Linked DNA regions of Tribolium castaneum. The protein of the gene in region 1 binds, or shares a complex with, the protein of each later gene. Links are inferred from orthologs where the notes say so. Each region holds a gene or a part of one and is shown in the gene's direction. Other genes may lie near its edges.

Region 1 (9,370 bases):
AATATAAAAAATGTGGCCAGTTCCAGGTGATAGTCCAGGGCACAAAAACCACTAACCTACTCAACTTCGAACCAAAATTTGCGTATTTTGTAACCAAATTTGCACAAAGAGCACTGCAAGATGTTCATTTTATTTAAAGAAAACCGTTTTGGGCGAATCTTGAACCGTCACAGTGAACAAAACCACGTCACTTTGATTTGTGCAAATTTGACACCTTGACGAGTTATTTATACGCGAAAAGGCGCATGCGCACTGTCGCCAACCATAGAAGTAAAAAATTGACTCCCTTTCTCCGGTGATGAAAAATGGAAATTTCGCCAGAAAATCCCACTCGATTTATGTTGGCAATTTGTACGAAACGGCTAATCTAGCCAACTGTTGTTGACACCACAAGTGTTTGTTTAATTTTTTCATTGCCAACGCATTGTGGCGCGAAATTTGAACTAGATTTTTAGGTCTGTTGTTGCCATGACGTGTTTATTAGGGGAATTACCGAGAACCGCCCTCAACTTACCGCCGAAATAAATTTCGCTCATCTCCTCAAACAGGATGTATCGATTGCATTGACTGCGATTTCACGGAAATGTTATCAACGTTCGCACCCACGTGTTAATTGTTTTTTCAACCGGAAATCGCGAAAGTTTATTTACTCGAAAAAATCGTGTACTCGCCGCTAATTCGCCCAATCTCTGTGCATGTATTTTTAAGTCGTCCTTCACTCCACTTTAAGAACACACATTAAAGATGTGTTTTTATAGCGACAATACGACGATAATAAAACGATGACTGACTTTTTGCGACTCGAGGAGACCTTTTCAATAAAATAAATCACTCGGTTTACGAAAATAGAACGGCATGAATGACATCCGATCGAACCTTCGCGGCTTTGCCAACAGTATTTTACACGAGGAAAAATCGACATCAGTAAACAAATCAATTAAAAAATTGTTTATTTGATTAAAATACATATAGATATTTATTTGGTGTATTTGTAGAAGCCTTCGCCGGTTTTCACGCCCAGTTTTTTCTCATCGATTAGTTTTTGTACGGATTCGTTCGGTTTGAAAAGGGGGTTATCAGGGAATTTCTTGTGCCAGCCTTGCATGATGGCGTGCGAGGTGTCATGTCCCACGTAGTCGGCCAGTTCGATGGGGCCCATGGGGTAGCCAGCCCCCAGCTTCATGGCGGTGTCGATATCGCGGGGCGAAGCATCACCTTCGAAAAAAATTCATACATATTTTTTGTGTTAACAGCCTTTCAAAATTTTGACTTGTAATTACTGTATACTGCCGTTAAAAAAAATAGTAAGGTAATGCCGTTTTCCTTATTTTTTTTATTTAGAGATGTTACTGTCTTGACTAGTATTTGCCTTCATAAAGTACTACTTACCGATATTGAGAAATTTCTAAAAATTATGTATGCAAATTTTTTTGAAAATGAAACTATACAAATTACAAATTTTTTAACTAACAATTAGAAAAACTTTATTTGCCACAACATTGATCACATATTAATTATTTATTTAAATGTAATTTAAAAATTTAGCTCGCTTACATAACAAACCTAAAATAAAATATTAATTCATAGTAAAATTTTAAAAATCGGGTTTTTATAAAAAGAAAATTAGAAACGAGATTAACGATTTTGTGTATTGAAATTTTCAAACATTTGTTTTTCCACAAAATTAAAAATCAAATTTTAGTATATGATTAACAGAATACTTAGTAATTTGACATTGGTTAATGCAACTTAAATAGCAACTTTATGAAACGAGCCTTAGCGAGTGTCGTACGAGTGTTTTAAATTAAATGCGAGTTACATACACTATTTTTTTACGATCCGACTGATTAAAATTAAAAGACTTGCATTTTTTTTCAAAATGATTAATTTATTTTTAAAGTCAGACTCAAGGCAATCTAATAGTTGCTGCCATGTTACATTCTCATTGGTCACAAGTTGTCCTCGTGGTCACTACTCTGCATTACCATTGGTTACAAGCCAGTATCATAATGATTTTCATTAAAGTACAGGTCACAAACATTTTTAATCAATCACTTCAGGAATGGGAGTAGAAAAAATATATAACATTATAAGATAGTATTGTTTTCAGCTAATTTTTTTTATATTGGTGAAGGTTAAGTTATTGAATCAAACTTTAACTGTCGTTATGTTAAAATATTTCAATAAAAGATTAGCAAAAAATGTTAGGTACAATGCAAATTTATATATTTTTTAAATAAAACACCCTATATTGTGCATTTTTGGATATATAGAGTGTGTCTAAAGTAACGCATAAAATTCATATTATTCTGATTTTTCAAAATAAGCAAAAAAATAATCGCCCCTTATAAAATTTTTTTTTTTTCTAAATTTTTTATTTATCACTTCAATTTTTTGCACTTACTATAAAGATAAAAGAGTAATATCTACTATAAAAAACAGTAACCAAAAATATCGATTCCCATTTAAAAAAATTAAAAATAGCGGCATTATTGAGAAACCAGTGATGTCACAAATGTTACCATGTAGCATTTACAAAAATAAGCTCGACCTGTTCGAGGATTTTTTTGAAAAATGACCTTCAACAAATACATAGTTCTTAATCATAATGTTGTTTCACCAGTAGATTTTGCTAAGTTTTTGAAAAAAACCTCAAAATCCAATAAGAAAAAAAACCGGGTTGACATAAATTTACTTGGAAAAAAAATCCTAAATTTCATCTTGACAGTCTGAAGTCTGAAGAATTTTTCGGTATTTTATAACTCGATTTATTTTCCATTCGTAGAGCCTTATTGGCAATAAAAATATTTTCAAAAATTCATTTCGTTTTGTGTAACTCAAGTCGTATCAGATTTATTGAACGCCTGTATTTGCCACAAGCTTGGCAACCTTAAAGCTCTCAGCTTCGCTTCGAGCTTCAATATTACATAATTATTACCTCTCTCCATCATCCTGATGGCTTCTGCTATATAGGGCACCAGAAGCCTGTTAACAATAAACCCGGGGGTGTCCTTGCAGGTGACGCAGGTCTTGCCCACGGCTTTGCCCCACGCCATAAAGGCCTCGTACGTCTCCTGCGACGTCTCCGGAGTCCTAACAACCTCCAAAAGCTTCATAACGGGCACGGGATTGAAAAAATGCAGCCCCCCGAACCTATCCTTCCTCTTCGTAACGGAGGCAATTTCGGTAATCGAGAGCGAGCTCGTATTTGACGCAAACATGGTTTTGGGGGGCGCGACCTCATCCAAATTTTTGAACAATTTGTGCTTAACATCCATGTTTTCAACAATCGCCTCCACGACCAAATCGCTGTCTTTCACAGCTTCGGCAATGTCGGTGCACCCCTTAATCCGGGCCTGCGATTCGCTCACGAATTTATTAGCGGCTTGCGGGTCATCCTTGTGGAGTTTTTTGGCGACTCGTACCAAGTTTTTCGCAATGCTGTCTTCGGCTTTTTTGATCAAGTCGGGGTTGACTTCCACGATGGTCACGTTGTGGCCGGTTTGCGCGGCCACCTAAGCAAGGGGGCGAATGTTAGGTTAGGTTCGGGTGGTTTGGGGTACACTTACTTGGGCGATGCCTGAGCCCATGAGGCCGCCCCCGATCACAGTTACGTTTTTTATAACTGCGTTCATGGGGCTTGAAGTTGAAAGGCTTCGCTTGATGAACAGGTTTAGGGCCATTTTTTCGCGTTCGGTTACGAGTAAAAAGTGGTGTGTAATGCGGATTTTGTTTGGTTTATTAACGATACAATAACTAGGTGAAAGTCCAAGTTTGTAACCTATGATCGACTCCCACCGCTACGTTTGTGTACTTTTTAATCATTTTATCGTTTATGGCGAGATTAGGGCTCAGAAGTGAAAATCATCGTGCCGATGGTTTAAAAATAATCCGCTTTCGATAACGAGTGCGACTTTTGTACCTGAATTTATTTAGGTATTATGTAATAAAAGTGCAACATCATTCAGTCAAGTGGTACACAGGAGGGTTCCAAAATGGGGCTATATAGCAATCCCTGTTATCAATTTATCCACTTTTTTCAAAGAAATACTTGAAAAAAAATATAATTTTGGGGAAATTTGTGATTATGCAATCAGCAATACACGTGTGAGAGGTTAGTTGCATTCTATAAGTTGTCAAATGTCATAAAAACACCAACTTTTGTAAGAAAAATAATTTATTTCTGATTTAAAAAAGTACACAATTCTCGATTATCAACAATGGTTAATGTAATGAAAGGCGTTTTGGTGACCTGGTAAGGCCCTAACAATTTTTTTGAGTTTTTGTTTGACATAACCTCAATCATGCCAGATAATCCAAATCTCCGGGAATCCCAAACTGCTTATTTAAAACCTTATCTTCCATCATAAACTTCCTTTTGCACCATGATTTGACCGCGAAGATATTATCAGTCCATCGATTTGCTGCTTCTTTTACCGGTTTTATCTCACTTTGCATTAATTTCAAATTTTGAGTATCTGTGTGAGATTTCGACAGAGATTCGAATTTTTCTTTCTGTTTTTCCAGTTTTTCAATTTCCTTCAAAATCTGGCTGTCGTCCCAATTCTCTTTCCCCACCTGCGCTTTTTCCATAGTTTCGTCAATTAATTTCAATTTTTTTGTTGACGATTCTAATTTCGTTTGAAGCTCGTTAAGTTTGCGTTTTTTCGCGTTAAGTAATTTGCTGTAATTAGGATAAAACGTGTTTTTGGCCCGTCTATACCGTTTTTCGGACACTCTCCCAGTTATCTCAGTGATCTCCGTTATTATAAGAGATACGAGGTCGGTTAAATTAGGGCAAAGTTGCGCATTTTTATGCTGAACAATTATTTGAAAAAAAAAATTGTAATTTTCGTTTTTATTTTTTCAAGTGAAAACCAAAAGAACTAGACGTAGGACTTTTTCGGGCACTTTTTACAAGGAATCTAAATTTGTCATCGGATTTTCCTAGGCTTGCTTGATGTCAGAGTTACAACACTTAACTTCGTTTTTTTTATGGGAAAAAAATAAAAACGAAAATCATTTTTTTAAATTTCTCTCAATAATTCAAAAACTAAAAATGGCACATAAAATTTTCTTTCAGAAATTGTTTTGCATACAAATGCACAACTTCTCAAAAAAACGGACACCCTGTATAATATTTACCTGGGAAAAGCCCAAAAGTAGACGGAACTCCCGATCTTATCCTTATCAACAGAACCATCATCCACCAAAGCTTGGACCACTTCTTTCACAGAATTCGCCGTAATTCCTTTCTCCTTTGGCGCAATTATTTCCAATTCATTCATTTGATAAAAATCCCCAGTCTCGTGAAACAATTGCAACATCCTAGCCTTTTTCTCCTCAAAACTTAGACCTTTTTTCTTGAACATTTTCCCCTAAAAAATGCGTTGTTTCAGTGACCAGGCCATGAAACAATTCCTTTTGTATTTAGATGAGACTACAAAACTAGGCCGAAAATTCATAATTCAGGACTTGGATGAAAACCACTTATTTATTTCAGCCGATATTTTAGAGACATTACAGGCAAAAATCGACGATCTGATGGACCAAATTAGCTTCCCAGTCGCCGAAAAAAGCAATTAATTTTTTGTAATTTGCAAAAGTGAGGTTATGTCATATTGATGTGTGGTCATTCGAATTATAAATAAAAAGCGCAGCATTTATATAATGACGTGTTTTGCTATAAATAATATCGTTGCGGGCCGGTTTTCGTCCATACTTACGCAATAAGGCACTAATTAACTGTTTTTTCAAATTGTCGGTACAAATAATACAGTTCCCTGTAAATTGGAAGTGGCTACAATTACGCTTCTTTGATAACCGACTATTCTACAGTTGTTACGCCATCACGAACATTTTTACACACAAATGATAAGAATAGAATTAAGCAATAGATAACGGAAACGTGTCACTAATTATAATTTTTCCCTGATTTAATAGCCGCCGTGACGTAACCACAGCCACATGTCAAACGTCACAATTGACTTCTTTGGTTATGTTCCGTTTGTCAAAGTTATAAAACGAAAAAACGCGTTTCTCGGCCACAAATCATCAAGTGTGTTAAGTTCCGTGTCAGTGCATTTACCCCCATCATGACGGTGCCCACCCCCAGCGAGAAACTCCTCACCAATGGCTCCACCACTCCCAAGCGCCAAAACGGCCAAAAATCGGGCCTCATGAAGCTATCAAGTTACGTGCTAGCCTTGCGTCCGTGGTCCCTCAGTGCCAGTCTCATGCCCACACTGTTGGGCTCCACCATAGCGTACAAATACCCCGGAGTTACCGATTTCAACTACGCCACCCTCCTGCTCACAATTTTCACCGTGGTGTCGGTGCACGGCGCCGGAAACGTCGTCAACACCTACTTCGACTACGTCAAGGGGATCGACAACCGGAAATCGGACGACCGGATCCTGGTGGACCACATTCTGACCAAAGACGAGGTGGTGTCTCTGGGGGCCCTTTTATACTTTGCCGGCTGTGTGGGGTTCATTCTCTTGGCGGCGTTGAGCCCCGCGAAGATGGAGCACTTGGCTTTGGTCTATTTCGGGGGGCTGTCGTCGAGCTTCCTCTACACGGGAGGTATAGGCTTCAAGTATATAGCCCTCGGGGATGTGCTTATTTTGATTTTGTTCGGCCCCATTTCGGTGCTTTTCGCCTTCATGTCGCAAACGGGGCGCGTCGAGTGGGCGACGATTTACTACGCCATCCCTCTGGCCCTTAATACTGAGGCGATTTTACATAGTAATAACACAAGGGACTCTGAGTCGGACAAAAAGGTGGGAATTGTGACTCTGGCGATTATTATCGGCCACACTGCCTCGCACGTCTTGTACGCGTTTTTGTTGTTCACCCCGTATATCATGTTCATGGTGGCCTCGTTGAAATACTCGAAATGGTTCATGTTGCCTCTAGTCACGCTTCCTAGCGCTTTTAAAATCGAAAAACAGTTCAGATCCAACGATATACACAGTGTGCCCAAAAAGACTGCCAAATTGAATTTGTTTTTCGGTGTTTTGTACGTGCTGGCCTGTAGTTTGGTTCCAGCGCTGCCGTACGTCACCAAAAGATAGATGTACGAGCTCTTATTAGTTGTATTTATTTCTATTAAGTTATTTTTTACTGTGTTGAGGAACTGCGTCAAAAGGGGGCGCTAGTGCGGGTTTGCGGCTTGGGGTCCAAGCCGCAATACCTTCTCATTTTCGTTTGTTACGTCGAGATTATTGTACTTATGACAATGAACAGTCACGATCATAAAGAATGTCATCCCTATAAACTGTTGGGTCGTAAACGTCAATAAACATGATTTCGGGTTTTTACTTTTGTAACATCAACGATATTCTAATCGTGTAAATTAATAAATGTAGTCTATTTACTCCAAGTATGATCAAAACTGTATTACGTAATGTGTTAGCTTTTTAAGTAGTACTTATTTACTTATTTTTAAACAAAAGTAGGTGTACTAAAGTTCAAAACCAACGTTAGTTACATTCTGTTCCAGTTGTTAGCCACTTTTAATTTAAAATTTTAAATAGTACCCTCTATTTTTTGAAACATTTTTGTTATAAATTTTTACTTATCTTTAAATAATCTTTTTTTTGTTAGAAATTTTGCCTTTAATTTAATGTTTCTAAAAGTCCTAGTCTTTTGTCAAGTATTTACCAATAAAATTCTAAAAAAAAGTGATTATACAAAAGGACGAAGTCGCTCACAGACAAACCGAAAATGGGGTCTTACTTAAAACGAATCATCCGTTTTTAACCGCAAGTTGTTAAAGAAACTCGGCTTCGCCTCGGCTGGAATTTTTCTTTATTCAAAACGGTTGCAAAAAATAATAACGATGTTTCTCCATTTATGGATTCTATCAATATGAACTTACTAATATTTGGTCCTTCGAGCCGGATAAAGCAGCCATGTTGGCCGTGGAAAAATTATTTCACAGAAAATGTGTACAAAGTTAAAGGTTTTGCAAAATTTACACTTTTAAGCTAGAAATTCATTTATTTGGCCAAATTAAAAAAAAAATTGGAAACCTCAAAATTTAAAGTAAACTTTACAGTTTTGAAGCAACAGATTTTTGACTGATTTGACTTTGCAAAGGTAAATTCGATATTTGCTGGCCAATTCTATATATTCGTAATAAAAAAAATTATTTTATTAATCGATTTACATGAAAACGAGTTGAATACAACATTTATTTTTCGAATTTGACTCAACAAGGCTTGAAATTGCTTTAAATCTGTTAGAATAGTCAGACATTTCGTATTGAAAAATGCCAAATAGTTAAATAACTATTATGTTTGCTTAGAAACAATTTTTTAAATTTTAAATGAAAAATTATTATTGGAATTAATTATAAATTCACTGTTTTAGTTTTCAAATATGAACATACTCCTATAGATTGACTTTGTCAATGCAAGGTAAATGGTAACTTACTTTGAATTAATTTAACGTTGGAATAAATTTTAACTTGTTTTCTGTACGCCGACTCTAATTACATGTATATTATACGATTTTAATATCATTGGGGCCTAAAATCTAATAGTCGAGAAAACACTCGATGATGTGAAATTTACATTTATGACCTAAAAGATCATTGCTGTGGTTCGTAGGGGTGACATTCTTTCTGGTCGTGACTGAACCTAATCAGGTGATTGGCTCTTTCAAGGCGGGGTTTAGTCCCTGATTGGCCAATTATAAATCATGTATTTTTATAGCTGATTAATTTATTGTTAATGTTGATGAGTTTTGTATGACGTTGTGTAAGAGATTTTATAGTAAATCATTATAATTTCCGTTTGTTTTTATTTTGTGTGTCTAGACTAATATTAAACGAAACGCTTGGTAGTGGTAGTAGGCGCCATTTGACGTTTGGGGGCGCTGCAATCGCATCTCTTCCAGTCACTGCTCAGACTACTTCAATTGACAATAACGGAAAAGTCTGCGTAAAAATATCAAATAATTTATTCGTAGTGTGTGGGTTGGCCACCTGGCGGCTTGTTCGGGGCTTATGACTTAATCAATTATTCAAAGCGCGTCAGGGACAGCCTTTAGCACAATTTTCGGTAGTGATAATAGCACAATCATAGCATTTAAAATTGTTGGTCTAGTGGGATTTACAGGTTTGTTCCTGCGGAAGTTTTAGTCCTGAACCGTTTTTTACTTACGAGCTGTTTTGTCGGACAAACCTCTAGTTACCGAGACAGTATTGCATGATAGGGCTTTTACGAAAACACATATCTGATTTTTGTATAAATTTTATTGACCCATTACATACAAACTAACCTACGTTTTCATATAAAAATTGTTTTGCTTTGTTTTCATTACAAATAAATTTGATTATTTCGGTGTCTACAAGCTTTAACCT
Region 2 (7,982 bases), on another chromosome or scaffold:
CTGTTTTACATTATTGTAACATTATTAAAAAGATATCGAAAAGCCTACCTTTCGAAACAATTTATGCCTAATGTATCAGCAGTTGTTAATTTTAATTGCAGAAGTATTACATGATTTTTTTGAGTGGAAAAAGTTTAACCTAAAATTCACACCTTTCACTAATTTATTGTGGTTTTTTGAGCCCAACATGTCTTTGCTACGATCTAATACTGGTAAAATAGTAATTAATAATTAGATTTCTCATTGAAAATATAAATTACATTAGCTATTATTTTTTTGAAGTCCATGAATAATTTATAATTTTATAATTTTGGAAAAGCTAATACACCATTTTATTTTTCTAGTAAGAATTCGCGTCTTTGATTAGTTGATTACGTAATTGTTTTAATAACTTTTTGTAATCAAAAATTAAATCTTTTTCACTTTTTATCCACTTTCAAATTCCAAAAAAATACATTTTAAAAATCGCATAACTAAAGGCCAAGTTAGTATTTACCACCCCCGTAGAGGGGGAAACTTCTGGAGGGAACATAAGCAAGAAACCGTGGTTCTTGCACAAACACCTTTTATGACTCTTTGTAAAGTGCGCGCGCTAACATTCTTCCCCACAAGAAATTTCAAACCAGTGGTGCACTAGGCACATTTTAATTTTGGGGACACTTGCAACTTACCATTGTCAAAATTTACTTCATTAAGGCGGCTCCCGAGAACTCTCAAAATGATGTGGTCATACATTTATACATATCTCAAAAAATAGACCACGGAGCAGAACCAAACAAAAAGCAGAATAATTAGAAATTAATTCCCCACAAAACTACACATTTTTTATGTAGTATTGAATCCATTTAAGGATCGGAAAAAATACACCCATTCATGCACAACATCATTGTAAATATGCATGCAAAAACTGAACCCAATACAAGCAATAGCGAGGAAAAAACTTTTAGAAAAAAATTTTTGAGAATGAGATTTTTTTTAATTACCGCTTTTAAAATGTATTTGCCAGTTGGAGAGGCCACAATGGTTGCCGGTTGAAAATTGTTGTCGATTTTGAGATATGTATAAAAGTAAAAAATAGTAAAAACACATTTTTTTGATTTGACAATCTGATTTTGACAGTTCTCGGGGGCTGCCTTGAAACCACTAACTGCTAAAACTAACAATTAACACTATTACGTGCTATTAGCTAAAACTATCAGAAAGTATGAAAAAATTTGTTTAAAACGAAAAAAAAACAAAAAAAAAAAAAAAAAGAACAGCATAGAATTCATGAGACGCCTATCTGGTATCAGCTGATTTGTAGCAACAGCTTCAGACCTGCGCACTGGTTGCACACTTAAGCGGGAAATTCAGAATAGGCCATAAAAGGTGTTTGTAGATCGCTAAGAACCTAATATTGGCGGTATAGGGCACCTTCTCTCTAGAAGTTTCTCCCTCCACGACCACCACATTCTTTTAAACTGACTCTCTCCAATGTAAAAAATTAACAACATACCCACAAAATGGTTAAATAATTCATTAAATGAAGAATTACGGAAATTTCGTTACACTTCGACAAGTAATGCCACCGGAGAGCGTCTAGTTAATTTTATTTTCGAATTCTTATCAGAAAGATTAAGGAATATAATATTAATTAGTTAAATAGTAGTCCTTAGTTTAATAGGTTTTCTTTTGTATTTATTTAAAACGTGAATGAAAAATTTTGAATGGTGTTGTTATACAGGCTGAGCCAATTGCTTTGTTAAAAGTCAGAGATCTAGTGAATGCTTGAATTGGTATTTTTGGTTGCATCTAAGATCATTTCAGAAATAATAATCCACTCTGTATTATAAATTCTGTCAAAACGTCGTTTAGATTTTGTCAATATGACAGTTTTTTGCAGTTTACCAAAGAATTACTGTAATATTTATTTATTACATTATTATTTATATATTTATTTTTAATGCCTGGCAACCTATTTTGATTCAAAATAATTACTGAGGTTCAGCTTCTGGGATTGGTGGATTTCATAGTCCTATTATTCGAACAACGTTCAACATGGATTTTTTTTGTCAACATTTACAGACACCTAATTGTCTACGCCACGTCCCCCTTTTCTCTGGGGAGTGAGTTCTGATACACGTTCTATAAAAACGCCAACATCGCACTTTCTTTCAAAATTAGCAGTTATAAAATATTCATGTACTTCAAAAAAATAATAGCTAATGTGATTTATATTTTCAATGAGAGATCTAATCATTAATAACTATTTCACAATTTTATCAATCTTATTTAAAAAAAATAATTCAGGAAAATGTAACGTTGGCGTTATTATAGTTTTGAAACAGCTAAAACTATTGAAAACAATGAACAAAAATGTCGATTTCCATTTAAAATAATTAAAAATGACGTCATTACTCAGAAACCAGTGATGTCACAAATGTGACTATGATGTAACATTTACAAATATAAAATCGACATGTTCGAGGATGTTTTTTGAAATTTTGTTTGAAAATGACTCCCAACAAAAATATGAATTTTATGCGTTACTTAACTTACTCTAGTTATTCGGAAGTAAAATTACCGTTGGGGGTGCCACTGAGCTAGGTCGAAAGCATTAACCATAAATGGCGGGAAATTTTTTATTCGAATATTTTGAGCGTTGTACGAATTTTGAAACTTCACAATTATTTCATTGTCTATACGGGATGACTATTGTATCTTTGGTGCAAGAAACGAATGTTGACAAATTAGAGATGATGAGGAAAACACGAATAACGAATGACTGCTTGGTTCACTTTTTTATTGGAAAATTATTACAAAGGCATCGAAAAGCCTACCTTTTGACATAATTTACATTTAAATGTCTCAGCAGTTTTTAATCTTAATTGTAGTTTTGTAAATTTACCAATGTATTTCATGATTTTTCCTGTGGAAAAATTCTAATCTAAAATTCACACACTTCACTAATTTATTGGTTTCCTGAGCCCAACTTTGTGTTCGCTGTATCCATTACTTATGGTCTTTAATTTGACAACTTTAATTTGTAATCAAAATTTAAATCTTTTTCACTTTTTATCCACTTTCAAATTCCAAGAATAAACACTTTATACCACGAAAAACCGCAGAACCAAAGTCAAAGCTAGTATTTACCACCACGTACTTTTAAGGTAGTTGGTGCCTAAATTAACATTCTTAAGATTTCTTTTAAATTTTAACAGATTATTGTTCAAAGAATTCCATATCGATGGTGCAAAAATGAAAAAGATTGACCGTCTAGTTTCGGAGACATTGAATTTTGAAAATTGAGTTTTTGACTCTTTTACATTGCGGCATATGGTGAATCAAAATTTTTTTGTACGTTTTTTGGTATAGCTATCAAACCCTTCTTAAGATTTTTTTTAAAAACTAAATCATCATTCAGCAACATCAAATAAGTATTTTAAGGGGAAAAAAACTGGGGGTCACCGTCCAAATTTTGGAGATATTAATTAATAAACGATAAGAAATTTGTAGTAAAAGGGTTACACTAAAATAGAACTGGCAACACAGCGCATCTGTAAAACCGCTAAAAATGAATTTTGAATCAGTTAACAAACAAAACAAATATCCCGACACAGAATTTTTGACTTTGGAGCTATGTTCGGGATAGTTAGGAAGTAAATAGATTAAAAATGGCTGTTCCTACGAGGTGAGCGTGCCACAGGGGCCACCTAGAAGATGTAATTACGGTTTTTTTCGGTTAAATTTCGAAAATAGGACGCGTTTACAGTAAAACCGCTGTAGCTTTTCATCGTTTATCGATGGTTTTAGCCTAATAATTCTTCCTTTGTGATGTAATTATTTGACACATTTGACATTTTCAATCGAAACTCCGACAGTGTTGTCACATTCCACAAATGAGTTATGACTGGCCAGGGCAGTACATTCACAGTAAAAATTTTTGGGTTGGTTACTGTGGATACTATACACTGTGGCACCATATATTCTTTTGGCCTAACTTTTTGCTCCGATTGTAAGGCCCCAACTACCTTAAAGTGATTCTCTCTACTGTAAGTAATTAACACTACACACGCAAAATTGTTAAATTAAAAAATTAAATTAAATATTGAATTACGAAAATTTCGTTACTGTTTTCGACATAGTTCAAAAGTCGTCACCAGAGGGCGTCTAGTTAATTTTATTTCCGAATACAACCAATCACTACGCACAGGAGTGAACAAACATTAACAAATCCTGGTTTAGACATTTAAGAAGTTGAGTTGCAACAAATGTGGCGGTTTCAGACGTCCAAACATGAAAAAAATGCAAATCATGGCACATTAAAGACTTGGAGAAAGGATGCGGCTTTTGATACATTTTAGTAAACACAAGTATGAATCACAATCCATGTTCTTACTCATTTGTCCCAGTAATAAACTAAAGAATCTGAGATAAAGTGTAACACTTACCGCTCTTTCACAATAAGCCCCCATCAGCTTCCTGAGAGGGGTGTGCTTTTTGATCTTGAACTGGACGACAGCATTATCTTGTCCCAGTACTTTCAAGTTGATATGTTCCGTTTCATTGCTCTGCAAAGTCCCAAAAACGTGAGTATCAGTTCAAAATTACGGGAAAAAAACCTCGTTTATGGTTAGGAAAGAAAAGTCATGTTTACCTTCTTTTCGTCACCCATATTTGGCAAATTTGGTTGTGGCTTGTAGGAGGGTCTGGGGCCGAAGTTGATGCACAAATGTAAACGGTTTTAGTGGAATTTGGTGCACTTTTAACCGTTTTATCAACAGACACGCAGCTTGCCGCTAACAAATAATGGCCGGCTTGCTTGCAAAGTAGCGGTAACTGCTCGCCGGAAGTGACTACGCGGTTAGTCAAAGTCGGCTTTAGCTGTTCAAACTTCACACTTCCGCTTGAAACATTTGTAGAAATTTACCACTTCACGTTGACAAAACGTGCTTGAAACAACGCGGTAAATTAATACAAAAAATTAGGCTTTGTTTTCAATATAACTTTCACATGTTTTCTGCGATTTTTTAATAATTTAATCAAGAAATTAATCCTTATTTGTTATTGCCGTCGACAGATGGCAGGCCACAAGCTTCAATTGATCAGGAGCACCAATATTCCAGAAGTGAAGAACCCAGAAATTCACGAAATTAGAAATCAAAAAGCTTCTAGAAAAGCGCAGTTAAAGCTTTTTGAAAGTAATCTAATTTAAAGTCTAAATACCAACGCAACAAATTTTGATTAAGCGAGAGTGTGAGGTACAGAATTTGGTTAATTTTTGATGTGTCAGTGAAAAATTAGGTTATATTTTTTCAGGTTTTGTCGAGACAAGATGATTATACCGGTTCGTTGTTTTACTTGTGGGAAAGTTATTGGAAATAAATGGGAGGCTTATCTTGGGCTTTTGCAAGCTGAATATACGGAAGGAGATGCTTTGGATGCTTTGGGTTTGAAGAGGTACTGTTGCAGAAGAATGCTTCTTGGACACGTCGATCTTATTGAAAAGTTATTGAATTATGCTCCTTTAGAGAAGTAATCTGTAGTAGTAAGTCTGTTAAGTAAGTGTAGGTGTAAGTTTAATTTTATGGCATGTAAAAAGGCGCGTTTTTGAATAAATTTTACTATTATGCCTTGTCTTTCATAAACCAGCATTTTTGCAACATCCTATTTAGTTTTTCCTACTTCACGAGTTCACGGTAACTTTTTTGTTTATTTTTATAAAGTTATTCAAAAAAATTGCATTATCTTTGTTAATTCAACCATGTCTAGAGGGTCAAGAAAGTGTCGATATGGTGATAAGGGATGTCCAGTAAAGTTTAGAAATGAAGTCAGATCTTTTCCCAAGCAACTTGATTTTTTTATCATTCTTGTATTTGTTTTCTTTAGCAACCATTTTAATTGTTGTTTTGTTTCCAGTGATTAATAATATTAATATGATTAATATTAAATTATTTATTGTATAATTTGCTAATTTAAGTGTTTGTAACACCATAAGACAATAATTGTTGGTGATTTTTTTAAAAGATACAGGGTGACTCAGGGGTGCGGTCTGTAACTTTTTTGTTACTTGAAATTTTGCCATGTTTTCGTTTTCATTATTCTATAGATAGACTTAAAGTCCACAAACTATCTTTTTTTTATTATACACAGGGTGTTGTATACATCCTGGTTTACTAGAGTTATATTTTTTGAAATGAAACACCCCATACATTTTCACATAATTATATTCTATGCAAAAAGTAATGTAACTTTAAATAAACTATTATGGGTTTATCTCTTTTCGTTTTAAAATTATTCAACTTCTCGTTATGAAAAAGACCATCTTTAGAAAAATCACTGCGAAGTCGCTTATGAATATTTTCCGATAAATTTGCAACAGAATAAGTCAGAATATCCCGTAATTTTAATAATAGTCGACTTTTACTTGAAACACGCAGGTAATGTACATGGTGTGCCAGAACGCAAAAAGTTGAATAACATTTTTTTTTTCAAATGGAACACTATCTATTTCTTTACACTATCCAATGATATGCGATTTGTACAACAAATTAGAAATATCTCTTATTTTTTTTCTTCATTTCATTTATGTTTCAAGTAATAATTAAATTATTAATGTAAATAGTCACATTGGTACATGTCAAAAAATAAATTACAATTTGACTTATCACATTGTAGAATAACAAATTTCCTTGTAATAAAATATTTTTTTGAAAAATCTCGAAAAACGTTTTAAATTTGCTATGCAAATCCTTCCATTTGAAAAAAAAGAGTTATTCAACTTTTTGCGTTTTGGCACACCCTGTACATGGTTTGCGTGTTTCACGTAAAAGTCGACTATTTGCTGAAACTGTAAAAAAATCTGTGGAATAAAAAAGATTGTATAAATAACTGAAAAATTAAAAACCATCCACTTCAAAATCACGAAATTTTAGAAACTCGTGTGTGTAAAGACAATAATTTTTCTAACCAAAACCAAAAAATCTTACTATCATCATAAATTGGATAATATGTATAAATTTCATTTTTAGTTATAGTTTTTCAAGATTTCCAGCTTCATATTTTTCTAGGTTTTGATTTTTTAAGATATACAGGGGTGGTCCAGCCCAGCACCCGTCTTCTGCAGCTCAGTTACTATTAAAGTTGTTTCTATTTTTTAATGATTTTTAAAACTAAAGGTGTAAAACCGTGTTTTTTTAATTTGTATTTTTTTAACAGTAATCTCCTAACCGATTTGAAAAAAATAGAGACATGTAAGAAGCTAAAAAAATATCATAATGAGCACAAAAAATAATAGGATGCCATAAAAAAATTATTATTATGATGTCATACTTTTTGAGGACACTATATAGTTAATATATTTTCCTGAAATGTGTCCTAGAGTATAAATAAGTAATATCTACAAAATATCAAAACTCCAACTTTAATAATAACTGAGCTACAGGAGACGGGAACTGGGCTGGATCATCCTGTATTCAATTTTAAACTTTTACCTTTAATTTGGTTAATTTTTTGCGAAATAGTAACGTTTTGAATGAAAGACAAATTTACTTAGAAAAATTTCACGCTTGAAAATCCAATTGATTGCCATTGTAAAATTAGATTGGTGTAAGAATAACGGTTTAAATGGAAAAACAGCATACACTCTCTAAACTAATAACAGCAATAACTATGAGTAAGTCATTCAAAGAGGCTGGTTAAATAAGTTAATTTTGGGTCTAGTTAAAAATTAAATAAAAAGAAGATACTGTGATTTAGCTTGTGACAGCTGAGTTAATTGTAAACTGTGAAGCACAAACTAACTATCCTTCCTTGAGGTTCGAGTGCGGTTATTTGTGTTAAAAGAAACAAAAATGATAATTTTTGTATTTATTTATTATTCAAACAATAAACCTGTACAGAACAAATTTCATAATGGACAGCACTGTAAGTGTGATGTAACGTAAAATCATTTGGAAACTGATTCAAACAGAGAAAATCAGATCAAATTGAGTCGTGATTCT

Evidence for each region.
Region 2: Tfb5 (region 1) and Polr2L share a complex: the UniProt entries of both Homo sapiens proteins name them as parts of the TBP-based Pol II pre-initiation complex. The link is inferred for Tribolium castaneum from reciprocal best matches to the Homo sapiens genes GTF2H5 and POLR2L.

Annotation. Positions count from the first base shown.
Region 1 is NC_087399.1:6,494,673-6,504,042, reverse strand, and holds Tfb5 (general transcription factor IIH subunit 5), read left to right. Parts: upstream 1-4,113; 5' UTR 4,114-4,220; coding exon 4,221-4,255; exon of another isoform or gene 4,256-4,302; coding exon of another isoform or gene 4,303-4,684; intron 4,685-5,145; coding exon of another isoform or gene 5,146-5,372; exon of another isoform or gene 5,373-5,378; intron 5,379-5,399; coding exon 5,400-5,586; 3' UTR 5,587-5,671; downstream 5,672-9,370. Other genes in the region: hydroxyacyl-coenzyme A dehydrogenase, mitochondrial, read right to left, coding at 977-1,215, 2,939-3,515, 3,570-3,683; meiotic nuclear division protein 1 homolog, read right to left, coding at 4,303-4,684, 5,146-5,372; heix (ubiA prenyltransferase domain-containing protein 1 homolog), read left to right, coding at 6,096-7,076. UniProt on the Homo sapiens protein: Component of the general transcription and DNA repair factor IIH (TFIIH) core complex, which is involved in general and transcription-coupled nucleotide excision repair (NER) of damaged DNA and, when complexed to CAK, in RNA transcription by RNA polymerase II.
Region 2 is NC_087394.1:15,047,842-15,055,823, reverse strand, and holds Polr2L (RNA polymerase II subunit 10), read left to right. Parts: upstream 1-5,314; coding exon 5,315-5,518; downstream 5,519-7,982. Other genes in the region: Sumo (small ubiquitin-related modifier 3), read right to left, coding at 4,431-4,550, 4,637-4,654. UniProt on the Homo sapiens protein: DNA-dependent RNA polymerase catalyzes the transcription of DNA into RNA using the four ribonucleoside triphosphates as substrates.